Pelodiscus sinensis: one gene and its partner. The protein of the gene in region 2 binds, or shares a complex with, the protein of the main gene of each other region. Links are inferred from orthologs where the notes say so. Each region holds a gene or a part of one and is shown on either strand. Other genes may lie near its edges.

Region 1 (8,040 bases), on a different chromosome or scaffold from region 2:
TTCTTCCTTCTGCACCATCCCCACGACCCAGGATCAGCAGTTCCTTGAGCAACCGAGCCCTTGGGGCTGACTTACTAGCTACATGTTTCTTGCCAGCCCTGTGGACTGTCAGCATGTCAAGTGTGTCGAAGACCGGACGGTGGAAACACACTGTGCAGGCATATCTGAGGAAGAAGAGGAAAGATGGTCAGATCAAGCCAGGATAATCCCTGCCCCCTCATGCATACCTGCTAGGGCAGTTGGGCCCAGCCTTTCTTATTAGCATTAAGAGACAGTGCACTTGGTAATACTGCAAGTGGGAGAGACATTCACTAGAATAAATGACCATGGTCCTCAAAGTCATTCAACACAGTGGGATTTCTACAAATATAATTGGCCAAGGTTCCCAGAGCACAGCTAGCCAGGATAAATGTTACTACCCCATCTTACACGTGGGGAAGCTGAGAGATTTGCCCAACAAGTCATGATTCCCACACCAGTGTCCTGGATGCTGGACCACATGCCCTTTATTTTATCATCTCCAGTTTGAAATTTAGGGAAACAGGTCAGAACTTAAGTGACAACCAAGGAGAGTCAAGAACTGAAACCCAAATTCCTGGCCCCATGGCCACTGGTTTATGCTCATTCTCTGCTAGGCATTTAAAAGTTTGAAAGCTGTATTCACTCTGTTCGCTTGTTATGTTGCACATGATTTCTACTGCCCTGTACTGTTCTGTAGTAATCCCTCACACCTCGGTGACACCTGTCTGAGTCTGTAATATTAGCCAGAGGCTCTCTTGGGGGCATGTGGCTCTTTTATATCTGAAGGGAAACAGGAACTCTCTGCAAAGCCAAAATGAAAACTAACCCAAAAAACAAAACACCCCAGATCAGCCTCAATGCACTGCACCCTGGATTTTGGTGGTGTTTCAAGTCCAAAGCTAGATCCAGGTTTATGTTTTACAGACCATCTTTATTTTTATAATGGGCCTGAGCAAAACATTTCTGAATGCTGGAAATCCAGATCAGAACATTTAATAAACACCACCACCCCTAGGCGAGCTCTTATCAAGTGCTTTTCATCACTAGATCTCAAAGCACTTGAGAAAGGAAGGGCAGCATTGTTATCCCCATTTTACAGATGGAGAAACTAAGGCACCGAGTGATAAAGGGATTTGCTCATGGACACAAAAGAGGTTTGTACCAGAACAGGAAGAATCCAGGTGTCCTGCCTCCCACTTTGGTACTCTGTGCATTAGGTCACGTGGTCAATTTTGCAGCTTCAGCCCCCCAAATATATGCAGTAATCAATTAATTGAACTGGTTCAAAGATTCATCTGTAATCTGATTCCTATGGCACATGGTCCTCTCAGAACAATGCTGCCTACCTTAGAATAGATCTAACATACCTGCCGCTCCTTAGCAACAGTGCCTCATCCTCAGGGATATAGTTTGCCAGCAGATCTGCAACTCTTCTTTTCTGAATAAATGAACAGGCCACGTTACTGAGGAATCAATATTTTGGGTGTGGGCGGCATAGCACCTGGCACCAGGATGAATTGGGCCCTTCCATGAAAAATGAGTCACGGACCATGAAACCTAGCCGTCCATTGTGAAATCTGGCCTTTTGTTTGCTTTTATCCTATACTATACAGATTTCATGGGAGACATCAATGTTTCTCAAATTGGGGGTCCAGACCAAAAAGGGAGTTGTGTGTGTGTGTGTGGGGGGGGGGGTGTCATGGTAATGCCACCCTTATTTCTGCGTTGCCTACAGTTGAGTGGCCATAGAGCCATGGCTGTTGCTGGGCACCCAGGTCTGAAGGCAGCATCCTGCAAGCAGCAGCACAGAGATAAGAGAAGCAATACCATGCCATGCCATCCGTACTTCTGTGCTGCTGCTGGCAGCAGCTCTGCTTTTAGAGATGCTCAGCTCTGAAGGCAGCACTGCCACCAGGAGCAGTGCAGAAATAAGGGAAAAGTACCACAGTCGTCCCTTCCCCCCACAACTCCTGCTGCAATTACAACACCTTGAAATTTCAGATTTAGATAGCCAAAATAAGTAAATGTATTATTTTAAAAATCCTGTAACCATTAAATTGACCAAAATGGATTGTCATTTTGATAGGGGCCTATAGAACAACCACCACCACCTCTAGATCTTATCTAGTGCTTTTCTACTGTGGGACTCAGAGCACTTTACAAAGGAGGCTGGTATTATCATTATTACAATTTTACAGATGGGAAAATTGAGGCACGGAGCAGGGCAGTGAAATGCCCAAGGTCATCCTGCAGACCAGTGGCAATGGCTAAGAATAGAAGCAGGAGAAGGGGGCCAGAAGGCAGGCGCCAAGGGCTGAGGAGTGTTGTGGGACCACTCTGGGGATGGGGAGTAAAGGGGAGGGGGGAGTAGCAGGGAAGCAGCCGGGTGGTCGCTCTGGGGCTGGGGGGAAGGGTTGGGAGGAGGGCAGGCGATTGTTTGGGGGACGGGAGAGCAGGGGGAACAATGTGGGGGCAGGAGAGTGTCGGGGGGGGCAGGGGAATGGCTGGGGGAGGATGGGAGGCCGGCAGGGAGTTGAGGCGATTGTTTTGGGGAGGGGGCGTGGCGGCGCTGAAGGGGGGGCGGGGAGAGGCTGGGAGGGGAAGCAGGGGGCGCTCTGGGGCTGCGGGAAGGCTGAAGGGAGGACAGGGGAACGGGGCTGCCAGGAGTTGGGAGGGGCTGCGGGAAGAGCCAGCGGGGCGGCGTTGGGGAAGCTGAGGGGCTCAGGGAGTTGCTCTGGGGATGAGGAGAGTTGTGGGGCCCGTGGTGGTTGGGGGGGGTCGGTCGGGGGGCGGAGCCGGGGTGTCCCGCCCCGCCGCTCACCTGCAGCACATTCAGCTGGCCCGAGTCATCCCCCTCCCGCTTGAAGGACATGGCGGCGCCCCGGGAGGGCTAGACCCCTTCCCAACCGGCGGTAACCATGACAACTGGAGCCACCCCGCACTTCCTCTTCGGTTCACTTCCGGGACTACCCTTCCCAGCATGCCTCTGGGCGCTCGGCACCGATAGGCCTCTGGGGTCAAAACCGCCGTGATGCGTGGAGAGGGCTAGAAGGCGAGGGGCATGCTGGGAAATGTAGTCCTCACCCACGTCTCTGCTTCCGCGAGGCGACGCTTGTGGCTGGGTTGGGGGGGAGGGGGGAGATGTTCCCCGCTGTGCTTCTCCTGTGGCCTCCAAAGGGGCGGAGCGTTGTTAGGCGGGGAGGAGCTTGCTAGGGAGAGACTATGTTCCCAGAGGCCTTTGCGCGGAGTGGGCGGGGGTTGGCCCCGCTCCGCTGTTGGGGCGGGGCGGAGCGGAGGCAGCGCAGACTCTGGCTGCCCTGCGCGGGGTGGCGGGGTCCGTGGGGTGGCTGGATTCCGGGGGGAGGGGAGAGTAATTTGCCCCTCCCCCCGAGTAAAGGGGGGGCGGCGCGGATGAGATAGAGGAACCCCCCCCCCTTATCCCTCTCCGGCGGAAGGGGTGGGGAGGAAATCGAGGGACCCCCTGCACCCCCATCCGTGCAGGCTGCGTTTTGCAGTGTGGGGCGGAAATTGGGTGGCCCCCTGCCCTGGACTAGAGGCCGAGAGGGGGGAGAAGAAGCAAGACCGGAGAGAGACCCTTTGGGGGGGGGCTAGAAGCGGGGGGGCTAGAAGTGGGGGGTCCCTAGTCTGCCTGGGAGGCCCTTGTTCGTTCTGCCATGAGCACCCCTCAGGAAAGAGGGTGCTGGCAGGAGTCCTGACCCCTCCAGGCCCCTCTGCCGCCTGCACTGGTTGCACCACTGACTGGGGGCTGGGGGGGGAGATGGCCTCCCCCTCCAGGCAAGGATCCCCTGGAGGGGCTGGTTTGCTCTGTGGCAGCAGGACCCGGTCCTACGGCAGCCTCATCAAGTCGACACACTCCCCGGTGAGGGAGAGGAGGGTGGAACATCGTCTGGAGCCGGGGGACACCTTGCAGGGGCTGGCACTCAAGTATGGCGTCACGGTAGGTCTGCGCAGCAGCTTCCCCTTGCGATCTGGGGGATGTAGCTGGGGTGCCCATGAGGTCCCACTGTTGGAGCAGGGGGCAGTACCAGGACTCCTGGGTTCTGTTCCCAGCTTTGGAGGGGAGTAGGGTCTTGTGGATGGAGCAGGGAACAGGAAGCCATGTCTTCTGGTTTCTGGTCACCACTCTATACCTTTTTCTCCGTTTTATAAAAAAAGCTATTCCCATGGATGTACCTTTTGTAAAGTGCTCGATACCTGACCTGTCCCGGCTTCCCTTCTTTCTTGTGTCAGCCCTGATCCTGCAGCTTGGGGCCTCATTGATTTCCACTGATTAGGGGGACCCCATTTTGTACTGTGCTTTGTGTGTCTTGGATGAGGAGTTCTGCTAAAATACTCAGCATTACTGCTTTTTTGTTTGCTGAATGTCTGGGGTGAAGTAGGGAGGCTCCCATCATGAGCACCCCTAAGAAGAGGGGCTGCTGGCAGGAGTCACCTCTCTTGCGTCCAGGCACCTCTGATTCCCCTGTGGTGGGATCTCCTGGTTCTTGGCTGAGGCTCCTAGAGGCTTCTGCAATACACCTAATGATTCATAATAGTTTATGGCACTCCAGAAGGGGATTGGCAGAAAATCAAAGCCATAGTCCAGCGTCCTGATCATGGAACTTGGAGTGGGCACCCCACTGGGGTCCTCGGAGTATGGGTGGATGCACGGGAGGGCTGAAAGTCTGAAGTCTCATGCAGATTTAGGTCTGAGGGTTCCAATCCTTCAATTGCTGTCTCCTCATGGTTGCCCAGGTGTGCTGTTGCCTCTTCATGTGGCTGATGGGATCCGGCTAATGTGCACTTGTGCATTCACATGAACTTGCACCCTTCTCATTTCCTGTATTTTGCAACTTTGTGTTCTGTGGCCCCAAGTGGTTTTCACAGGAGTTCAGTGTATGCAGCAGAAATTCCCCTGGTGATGGGAACAAAATCCCCCCCCTCCCCCACACACACATATCCGGCTGGGCCGGGCCAGCTTTGCTGTCTGTGGTGTGGTCAGGCAGTAGTGGCCCTCAGCAGTTTAAACCTTGATAGGCCTGGAGCCTGACCACAGCAATTCATTCTTCCCTAGAACACATGCATGCTGCTCGCTGCAGGAGTGCCTTGCCGTGCAGCTGGAGGGGCAGGGAAAGAGGGGAGCTTTCTCTGGGGCTGCCAGCCAGGGGGCCAGCTTTATTTCAGTGCCAGTGCTGAGAACCTGCCAGCTCATTTTGCAGGGACCTAATGAGCAGCCAGTAAGGTAGAAAGGAGGGTTTTTTGGTCTTTGGGCTGGAGATGAGGCATGTGCCGTGGTGAAGGGTTTCCAGGTTGTCTTTCCTCATCCCTCCCACCCCCAGCAGAGCATAGGAGACCGGTGGGGTGGACCCGCTAGCAGACTTGTCAATGGCATGGCCCTCTCCCCTCCAGTGAGAGAGCACAGACTCATCTGGCTGCATTGAAACCTGAGCCTCAAGCATGCGGAGTCTGTCCCCCCACATCCTCAACATTAAATCTCTAGTGACCTCCAGCCCTTCTCCCTGCCAGCACAAACCCAGCATTTGCAGTCCAGGCCAGCTGTGTGCCTGCTTTCTCTCATTGTGTGGTGTTCTGTTTGCTTACTGGTGCCCTCCACCCCAGAAGTGGCTGCATTTTGGTAGTGACTGATATTAGGCACCCAGCTTGCAAAGTAGCTTTTAGGACCATGCTCTGAATAGAGAAGGTTGGTGATGTCTGTCGCAGGCTAGTGGGCTTACAAGTCTTATGGTGCCTTCCCAGATGGAGCAGATCAAGCGGGCAAATCGTCTGTACACCAGTGACTCCATCTTCCTCAAGACGACACTGCACATCCCTGTCCTGGTGGAGCCCGAGGAGATGGTGAACGGCTTAAAGCGGGAGGAAGGAGCCACACAGCCTGCCACGGGAAAGGAGACGCTGGTGCTGAAAAACAGCTCTGCGGCCAGCGCAGGCTCCACCCCCCGTCATGACCTCTCGGCCACGGATTTCTTACGAAAGCTCGACTCCGAGATCAATCTGTCCAAGAAGGCCGCGGTGAAGAAGCTGAGAGAGGGGGAAACAACGTGAGTGCCACCCTGCAGTTACTGTGGCGCTAATGTGGTGCCCGGGCTGTATAGGCAGGGGGTGGAACCCCAGTCCTGTTGCTCCAGCACATAGGCCCCTGCTAACAGCATAGAAGGAGAGTCTCTGCCGGCTGCCCTTGTGTTTGCTCTGATATCCTCTGTGGGCTGCTATGGGCAAGGGGACCCCACAAGTTTCAGCTGCCTCCCATAGGAGGCGCAGTGATGCCCGAGCACCCGCAGCTCAGGTTTGACAAACCCATGGGGGGGGGGGGAGAAATGAAAACCCTGTCAAATCAAGTGCTGTGCTCATTTAAAAAGAAAGGAGCCCGCAGCCCGAAACCTGTGAGACCCCACTCATGTCCTGCCCCTTAGCCTGCTCCTTCCCCACTGGCCCAGACTTAATCAGGAGTCCCCAAGAATGGTCTCTCTCATTTTTTCCCATCCACTTGAGGAATATATTTTATATGCACCAAGGCATGTGTCAGTGTGCACCACCAATAGAAACATGCTGCCAGCTGTTTGCACTGGAGGGCACTCTGCTAATCCACTGGGTGGCATTTGAATCTCTCTTGGGTGGTCACCTCGGGGCTCAGCTTTCAGGGAACACTGGTCCCCAAGGCTAATGGGCAGTATCCTGGTGGGGGCTGACGTGAAGAGAGCTCAGGCCTGAGGGGGACGGCGAGGGGTTCTTCATTGCTGACTGGGCAGAGGTGATGTATGCCCCAGGCTTTGGCTGCTCCGGGCCTCCCCAACCCCCATCCTGCCCCTCCTCGTGCTGTACAGTGGCCAGGCAAGTGCAGATGCCGCTGGCGTTGCAGCTAGGGATCCGGCGCGGGGAGGAGAGGCTTGATTGCGCGTGAATGACGAGGAGTTATCTGAAGGTGATGAACAGCCGCGCACGGCAGCGTGATGCTGTTTGGCCCCTCCCTGCCCCCCCCCCCCCCTCATCTCCTATTGGCGCTGTGCTGGCAAGAGCTAAGAAATCGTGTCCTGCCAGGCTCGTGCTGCGCACTGCCGAGGTGGGAAGGAATTCACCAGGGTCCCAGGCTGTTTCCTGGGTCCCTCCAGGGGAAACGGCCCTTGGTCGCTCCTGAGGGGGAGGACACGCTAGGTGGGATGGATCCAGTCTGTCACTGTCTGTGGCTCACGGGGCAGAGGTCCCCGTATGGCTTGGATTGTTAGAAACCGCCGGGTTCTTGTCCTCCCCTTGGTGCAGAGCTGCAGGGGGATCCGCTGCCAGTGCCTTGGCTCAGAGCGTAGCTGGAGGAGCCTGTGGCCACTGTCTGGCCCCCCACTGGCTGCTGTACAGGGAATCCCCGGCTCCGAAGCCAGCTCCGCTAGACTTGGGGGCCACTAGAGGGCGCCGTTGCCTGCGGTGAAGTTCTCTGCTCGGAACTGAGCAAGGTTCCAGCCCCTAAATCCGCACCCGCAGCCCCCTCCTTTCCCAGCCCTGGGCTCCTGGCCCTCAGTCTTAGCCCCAGGCCATGGCCCCCCCACCCTGCCCCCAGTTCTGCTGGTTCACACTCTGCCCGAGGTTCCCGAGCCATGTGAGGGTTTTGTTGGCTTTGAACAAAGATCCCACAGAGCTTCTACAGTCGTCCCTCCTTCCCATCTGTACTCGGTCCTCTCCGGTCTATTGCACCCCTAGGAATCCCGCCCTGCCCTGGATCCTTCCCAGCCCCAGCTGTGGGCACTGTGCTGGGTCACACATTCCCTAGCAAGGCACAGCAGAGGGATCCCCGAGCAGGGTCTGTCTGTGGGGGCCATTCCCCTGCCGAGATCTAACCCCCTCTTCTCTCCCTGCAGAATTGCTGGGATGGAGCCAGGAGCAAGCAGGACCATTCCCTGTCGGAGCGAGCCCTCTCCTTCCGCTCAGCAGCGCTCCCTGCTGGGCCCCGTGCCGCTCACCAAAACCACGCGGGCCGCCACGTTGCGGGACAAAGAGGACGAGATCTTCACA
Region 2 (7,087 bases):
GCATCTGGGGTTTTGTTCTTTGAGCCTTGTCCCCCATTCGAGTGCCCTCCAGCTTCCCAACCAAGGAGAGCACTTCCCCTGTAGGCTCATCTCGCCTGGTCCTGTCGATCAAGGAGCGATCAGCTTGCAGTACAAGATTAGAATTCTGAAAGGGATAACATCACAAGAGCAGATAAGAGGTGTGAAGAAATCAAACAAATTCCTATACATTATCCTCATTACTGTGGTGCCTAGTGTCATAAGCCAAGACCCTGTGGTGCCAAGTGCTATACAAACAAAAGACAATCTCTGCTCCCAAAAGCTTACAATCCAAGTATAAAACTAGGAACTCCTCATGGATACAACTAGCACAGCTTAAAGAATCAATGAGTTAATATTGACAATCAATAGTGGTCTCAGCACACTAGCAATCAAGCTTTTTGTAGGCCTCACGGCAAAAAACAGTTTTGAGAAGGGATCTGAAAAGAAATGAGGTAGCTTTGCAGATATTTATAAGTAGTGTCACAAGGAAAAGGGTCAGTACAGGGAAAGCAGGGCAATGCTTGCCTGGAAATTTAAGAAGTCGATGGTAGCAGTAGCCAACCAGAAGTAGGAATCAACTATTCAAGAGCAAATTAGAGGGAGAGAGGGAAATGACTTCAAACGCCTAGAAAGCATATACAAGTAGCTTATACACTTCAGAAGGTAGTCATGTTAGTCTGTAACTGAAAAAAAAAAATGTAAAAAACAATAATCCTGCAGCACTTTAGAGACCATCTATATTTTTTGTTAGTTGCTAAAGTGCTGCAGGACTCTGCTTTTTAATTTTTTTTACCAGTAGCTTATGTTGGATATAATAAAGAAAATTAACCCAGTGAGGGATGCAAAGAAAGGAATGGTATGACAAACTGGGGGCTTTTATTCACTTTATGATGTCGCATGTGAATGCTACTGTCCTATGGTAATCCCATGTGTGTGCCTCAGTTTCTCACAGCACTACATCAATACCTAGATAGTGAAAATACAACCCAAAATTCCCATAGCTGAAGGCAGCTACCCCAGCTGCCTACATGTACACAATGGCTGAAGCCCTTTGTAACCTAAGCGGGGTGGGGGAGAAAGAGCACCTGCTGCCCAGGAAGCAGGACAAAAACTGGAGAAAAGGCCAAGCTGGGGACTGGGACAAGACTGCTGGGGATGTAGATTAATCTCAGCTATTTTAGGGAAGCAGGGGGATAGTGTTCCCTGTAGACTGAGTGCTTGGGCAGCTGCCCAGCAGAGATTCAGATGCTGCCCAGCTGATTAGCAGAGTGCCCACAGCATGTGTTTCTATTGGTGGTGCACATCTGCACATTTCTCAGTGCACATACATTTATTTCACTCAACAATGGAAAAACTTAGCGGGAACCTTGCAGGGGGAGGCCCTGGCTCTGCCCTCCCCCCCACATGACAGATTGCAATAACTGCTTCTGGTTGCTCTGCTGACAAGCCTGTTCTACGCTATGTCCCTGTTGCCTAATAAATCATGGGGCACTGGGACAAGGGTGCTATGGTAATACTGGCCCAGTCTGAGGTGGTGGCACCAGACTTGATGATGCCCAATGCCCACCTGACTTTGACATGCATAGACAGGACCCCATTCAAGGTACCCATAGCAAGAGTACCTGAAATGGGGGGGCTAAAAGGGCCCAAAAGAGGTGGAGGTGCACCATCACTTGCCCACTGGGGTGCTGATGGGGAGTGATCTGGAAGAAGGACCCCACAGTGTTCTGGTCACTACCCTTAGCCAAAGCCAGCAAGAGGCACTCTGCCCTGGTGAGGGTAACCTGAAGGGGGCACAGGGCCCTACACTGGCAGAAAATTCCCAACAGCCAGGCTTGGCATTGCTGTGATGTCAGACCCAGGCTGTGAAGGGGAACAGGTCTCCATCCCTTCCCTGGCTGCTAAACTCAAGGCTGAGTTGCAGAAAGATCCCTCCTTACAGAAGCTGAGGGACCTGGCTGGCCTCAGTGCAGCACAACTGCTGGGGGAAGAATGCAAGGAGAGGTTCCTGTGGTTGAAGGGATTCCTGAACCGGGAATGGATTCCATCCCCAAGGGAAGTGGAGTCATAGCAGGGGGTGGGGGTCCAGCAGCAGTAGGTGATTCCCAAAAAGTACCTTGGAAGGCTACTGTACCTGACCTGTGACATCCCACTCTCGGGAAACCAGGGTCTCCAGCACACCAGGCAGTGGCTGCTACAGAACTTTTACTGGCCTGGAATCTTTGATGCTATCCAACAGTCCTGCAACCCTTACCACAGGATAGGGAGGGCCCAGGACAAGGGGAAAGCCAACTTGAGGCCTCTGCCAATCATAAGAGGAGCCTTTCCAGAAGATGGCTAAGGATATAGTGGGACATTTCAGGAAAGCCACCCAAACTGGGAAGATTTCACTACTCACTACTCTGAGGCAGTGGCTCGGTCTTCTATTGAGGCAGACACACTGCTAACCATTTTCAGCAGAGTGGGGTTTCCCAAGGAGGTCCTTGCAGACCAAAGGTTCAACTTTATGTCAGCCCTGCTCTGGTGCTGGTGGGAGAAGTTTGGGGTGTGAAATACGCAGCCTCAGCAGGCTGGGGCGAGGCTCAATGGGACACTAAAGCAGATGCTAGAGACCTTTATGCACCAGCACCCACAGGGCTGGGACAAGTCTTTACCCCACCTGCTGTCCACGGGAGTCTCCCCGATTGAGCGCGAGGCCCCTGGACCTGCTGAGGGAGCAGGCGGGCAGGCCTCCCCCGAGGGGGAACCGGAGTGAGGAATGTACCGGCCGCCCGAGAAAAGCTCGGCAGAGCCTAGTCGTCTCCCCCAAAACCGGGCGCCCGCGCCCCTCTCCGGGGACTGCTCTCCCCGCCCCCACTCACCGCCTTGTATTCGTACTGCAGGCTCCGCGCGGTCACATCAGCCATGGCGCCGCCTCAGCTACCCGGCCCCGGCCGCGACCAAGCGGAAACGCAGCACCGCACGCACGTCCGAACCAAGGCAGCAAGTACTTCCGGAACACCCCGGAAGTGCTGAAGAACGAGCCGTTGCTTCTCAAGAGGCCCTCTCGCCCATACGTCATCACCCCCGGCCAGGGGGCCATGCGATATTACGTCATGGGTCCGCCCCCGAAGAGCTGGCCCTGGCCCGAACACGCCCCGCGTTGCCTAGCGACGGGCCGGGCTTTGTGTCCATCAGGCGTGCGCGTGCTCAGATGGCAGGAAGCGCCCACGTGGCCCCCGAGGCGGATCAGCTCCCGCTTGCAGGGTGGGCAGAGTTTCAATGCGCATGGCCCCAGGGCTCCTGGCCCCCCGGAGCATTGGTCTGGTCTGGGCGGGGCAGGGCTCCTCCTCTTCGCGGTTTTGTTTGGATGCGAAGAAGCTGGCGGGGGATGCAGGGAAGCGCGCTGCGCAGCGGTGTCCTGCTGGGCGCAGTGCGGGTGGCGGGGCGCAGGCGAGGCGGTGCTGGCTCCTGGGAGGGGTAACTTTCAGCTGGCACAGAGCCCATGCCCCTTAGCCCTTTTATTGACCTCTCGTAGCCCCAGGCAACAGCTGGGCCATGGACATTCCGGGTTCGCAGGTACAGCCCAGAACCCAGGCCCCAGCGCAGGTACAGCTGAGAAGCCAGATCCTGGGGTGGGTACAAATGAGCATCCAGCGCAGGTGTAGTCGAGAACTCAGGGTGGGTACGGCCCAGAACCCAGACCCTGGGATAGGTACAACTGAGAATCCAGGGCAGGTATAACCTAAGACCCCAGGCCCTGCGGTGGGTACAACCCAACCCAGAGCCCGGGGTAAGTACAGTCGGGAACCTAGGGTGGGTACAGCCAAGAACCCATGTAGATACATCTCATTAATCTCTGTATTAATTATTTTCTCATTGACATTTTTATCAATTGACTCTGTATCAAGTTCTTTTAGCATTGTATTACGTCTTTAGCTTTGTTACATTAAGTCCTTTTATATAGAAACTTTGTATACTTTCATATAGAACATAGAAACTTTGTATTAAGTCTTTTTACATAGAAACCTTGTATCTTGTAGACTTTGTACCCCGTTTTGCGTAATTGATTGTCCTATTGAGTGAATGAGGTGTGAATGGATAAGGCATGAAAGACAACCACCTCTGGACACTTGCAAAGGTTGGAGAGGGGTGGAAGCCAGATCCAAGAACAATGAGAAGAACAATGGGATCTGTGAAGTGGGCTCATTGAAAGATGAGTGGACATATGGACACTTTGGGAGTCAGCAGCAAGTGCCAGCTTTTGGAAGCACCCTCTTTGAAGGAGAATGTGGCAGCATTGAGACACCACCCAAAAGAAGGTGCCACAGATGTCTTAACTGCATATGAAGCAAAATGCAGGACAATGTAGCACTTTAAAGACTAACAAGATGGTTTATTAGATGATGAGCTTTCGGAAGTGGGTCTGGCCCACAAAAGCTCATCATCTAATAAACCATCTTGTTAGTCTTTAAAGTGCTACATTGTCCTGCATTTTGCTTCAACTACCCCAGACTAACACGGCTACATTTCTATCACTTAACTGCATATGCATATGATGACTCTTACAGATGATGCATATGCATGTGATGACCAACTGGTGGAGATCTGCAGGAGAGGGAAGACACTATAAATCTAAGGCATCTTGCAGAGGGACCCTGGGTTTTTGTCTTGTCAACATGGGAGCACCTACCCAGATCTGCAGAAGCCCTCTACCCCTCCCCCACCTAACTCACCTGGCCAGTGCAGTTAGAGGGAACAATTATTGGTAACAACAAGAAGATGGGGTGTGCTTGTGTTATCATATGCATATGATAAGTGTTGATTGATATATGTGCTACCAATAAATATGGTGTTTTGCCTTTTTGCCCTGAAAAGATCTCAGGGTACGTCTACACTACAGCGCTAGTTCGAACTAACTTAGTTCGAATTAGTTAATTCGAACTAAGCTAGTTCGAACTAACGCATCTAGAACTAAAAACTAGTTCGAACTAGCGTTTTGCTAGTTCGAACTAGTAAGTCCACATTGAGTGGACTCTGAACAGGGCTTAAGGCTGGCCGGAAGCAGTGCCGGCAGGGCATAAAAGGAGGACTTAGAGCATGGAGATGCTGTCTCAGGCTAGCCGAGGGCTGCGCTTAAAGGGTCCCGACCCCCACCCCGGACACACAGTTCTCAGGGGTGCCCCGCTTGCAAAGAAGTTCTGGCTTGGAGTGCCCTGAGTGCCCACACTGAGCACATCACACCACTCGGCCATCACCCCGGCTGCACTTGCCGCAGGCTGCCATCTGGGGAGAGGGGGTAATTGGGGGGCAGCAGGAGAGCTTCCACCCCCAGAAGCCCGCAGAGCCAGCCCAGTCCTCGCCATCGGGGGCTCGTACCCCATACCTCCCTCACCTCCTTCCACTTACCCTTCCCTAGCCCCCCTTCTTATTGATGTACAAAATAAAGATAACGTTTCTTCCAACATTGACTCTGTCTTTATTGAAAAAAACTGGGGGAGACTGGGAAAAGGAGGTGGGAGAGGGGAAGAGAAAGGCTGGGAGAGGGGAGGGCAACTAACATGATCAGGGGTTGGGAACAGGTCCCAGATGAAGAAAGGCTACAGAGACTGGGACTGTTCAGCTTAGAAAAGAGGAGACGGAGGGGGGACAGGATAGAGGTCTCTAAAAGCAGGGGTTGGGTGGAGAGGGTGCATTCAGAAAAGTTCTTCCTGAGTTCCCATAAAGAAGGACTAGAGGACACCAAAGGAAAGGAATGGGTAGCAGGCTTGAAACTAGTAAGAGAAAGTTGTTGTTGTTGACAAAGCAAATAGTTAACCTGTGGAACTCCTTGCTGCAGGAGGCTGTGAAGGCTACAACTAGAACAGAGTTTAAAGGGAAGTGAGATCAAGTCATGGAGGTTGGGTCCATGGAGTCCTATTAGCCAGAGGGTAGGAGTGGTGTCCCTGCCCAAAGTTTGTGGAAGGCTGGAGAGGGATGGCACGAGACAAATGGCTTGGTCATTGTCTTCGGTCCATCCCCTCCAGGGTCCCTAGGGTTGGCCGCTGTTGGCAGACAGGCTACTGGGCTAGATGGACCTTTGGTCTGACCCAGTACGGCCATTGTAAGCTCAGGGCTCAGTGTCGGGGGTCTCAGTGGACCCCCTTGATTTTCATGCACACCTGGTCCTGGGTGGCCAGGCTGGCAGCTCTCCTGCCCTAGACGGCCACTTTCCTGTGCCTAGTGCGGAGATCGTGGACGAGGTCCACGATGTCCGCACTAGCCCAGGAAGGTGCCCGCCTCTTGCGGTCCAGGGCAAGCTCCCGGGAGCCGCCAGCCTGGTCCCGGCAAGAGGGGGTGGGCTGGGGGGCATCGGGTGGGTGGCTCTGTGCCGTGCCAGGTGCAGGGTCTGCTAGCTGGGTGCTGGCAGGCTTGCACCTGGCACGGGCACCGTAGCCAGCCCGTGCCCCTTTAAGGGGTCCGGGGCCGGGAGGGGGGCATAGAGTTTCCCTGGTGTTGGCCAGAGTGGCCACCAGGGAAACCTGGGGAGGGCTAGCCTCCCACTAGTTCGAACTAAAGGGCTACACAGCCCTTAGTTCGAACTAGCTAGTTCGAACTAGGCGTTAGTCCTCGTAAAATGAGGTTTACCTAGTTCGAACTAAGCGCTCCGCTAGTTCGATTCAAATTCGAACTAGCGGAGCGCTAGTGTAGCGCATAGGAAAGTTAGTTCGAACTAACGTCCGTTAGTTCGAACTAACTTTCTAGTGTAGACATACCCTCATGCAGTACTCTTAAGGACAACACCCATGCCCTGGGATGGGTACAGCTGAGAAACCAGGGCCTGGAAAAGGTACAGGTGAGAAACCAGGGCAAGTGTGGCCAAGAACCCAGGACTTGGGATGGATACAGTTGAGAACCCAGGTACAGGGGCAGGAATAGCTGAGAACCCAGGGCAGGTATGGCCGAGAACCCAGGCTCCAGTGGTGGGTACATCTGAGAACCCAGGGCAGGTATGACTGAGGGCCTGTGGCCTGGGGTGGATATAGTTGATGGTGCGGGGAGGTGAGTATGGCCAAGGGCAGGTATGGCTGAGGACACAGGACATGGG

Evidence for each region. Proteins that work in one complex are often made in the same cells at the same time.
Region 1: SNRNP200 (region 2) and SCNM1 share a complex: the UniProt entries of both Homo sapiens proteins name them as parts of the minor spliceosome. The link is inferred for Pelodiscus sinensis from reciprocal best matches to the Homo sapiens genes SNRNP200 and SCNM1.

What each region holds. Positions count from the first base shown.
Region 1 is NC_134734.1:15,658,519-15,666,558, forward strand, and holds the start of SCNM1 (sodium channel modifier 1), read right to left. Parts: upstream 3,047-8,040; 5' UTR 2,894-3,046; coding exon 2,843-2,893; intron 1,460-2,842; coding exon 1,389-1,459; intron 165-1,388; coding exon 76-164; intron 1-75. Other genes in the region: LYSMD1 (lysM and putative peptidoglycan-binding domain-containing protein 1), read left to right, coding at 3,800-3,979, 5,779-6,080, 7,887-8,040. UniProt on the Homo sapiens protein: As a component of the minor spliceosome, involved in the splicing of U12-type introns in pre-mRNAs. Plays a role in the regulation of primary cilia length and Hedgehog signaling.
Region 2 is NC_134738.1:241,317-248,403, forward strand, and holds the start of SNRNP200 (U5 small nuclear ribonucleoprotein 200 kDa helicase), read right to left. Parts: upstream 3,041-7,087; 5' UTR 2,928-3,040; coding exon 2,883-2,927; intron 146-2,882; coding exon 1-145. UniProt on the Homo sapiens protein: Catalyzes the ATP-dependent unwinding of U4/U6 RNA duplices, an essential step in the assembly of a catalytically active spliceosome. Plays a role in pre-mRNA splicing as a core component of precatalytic, catalytic and postcatalytic spliceosomal complexes.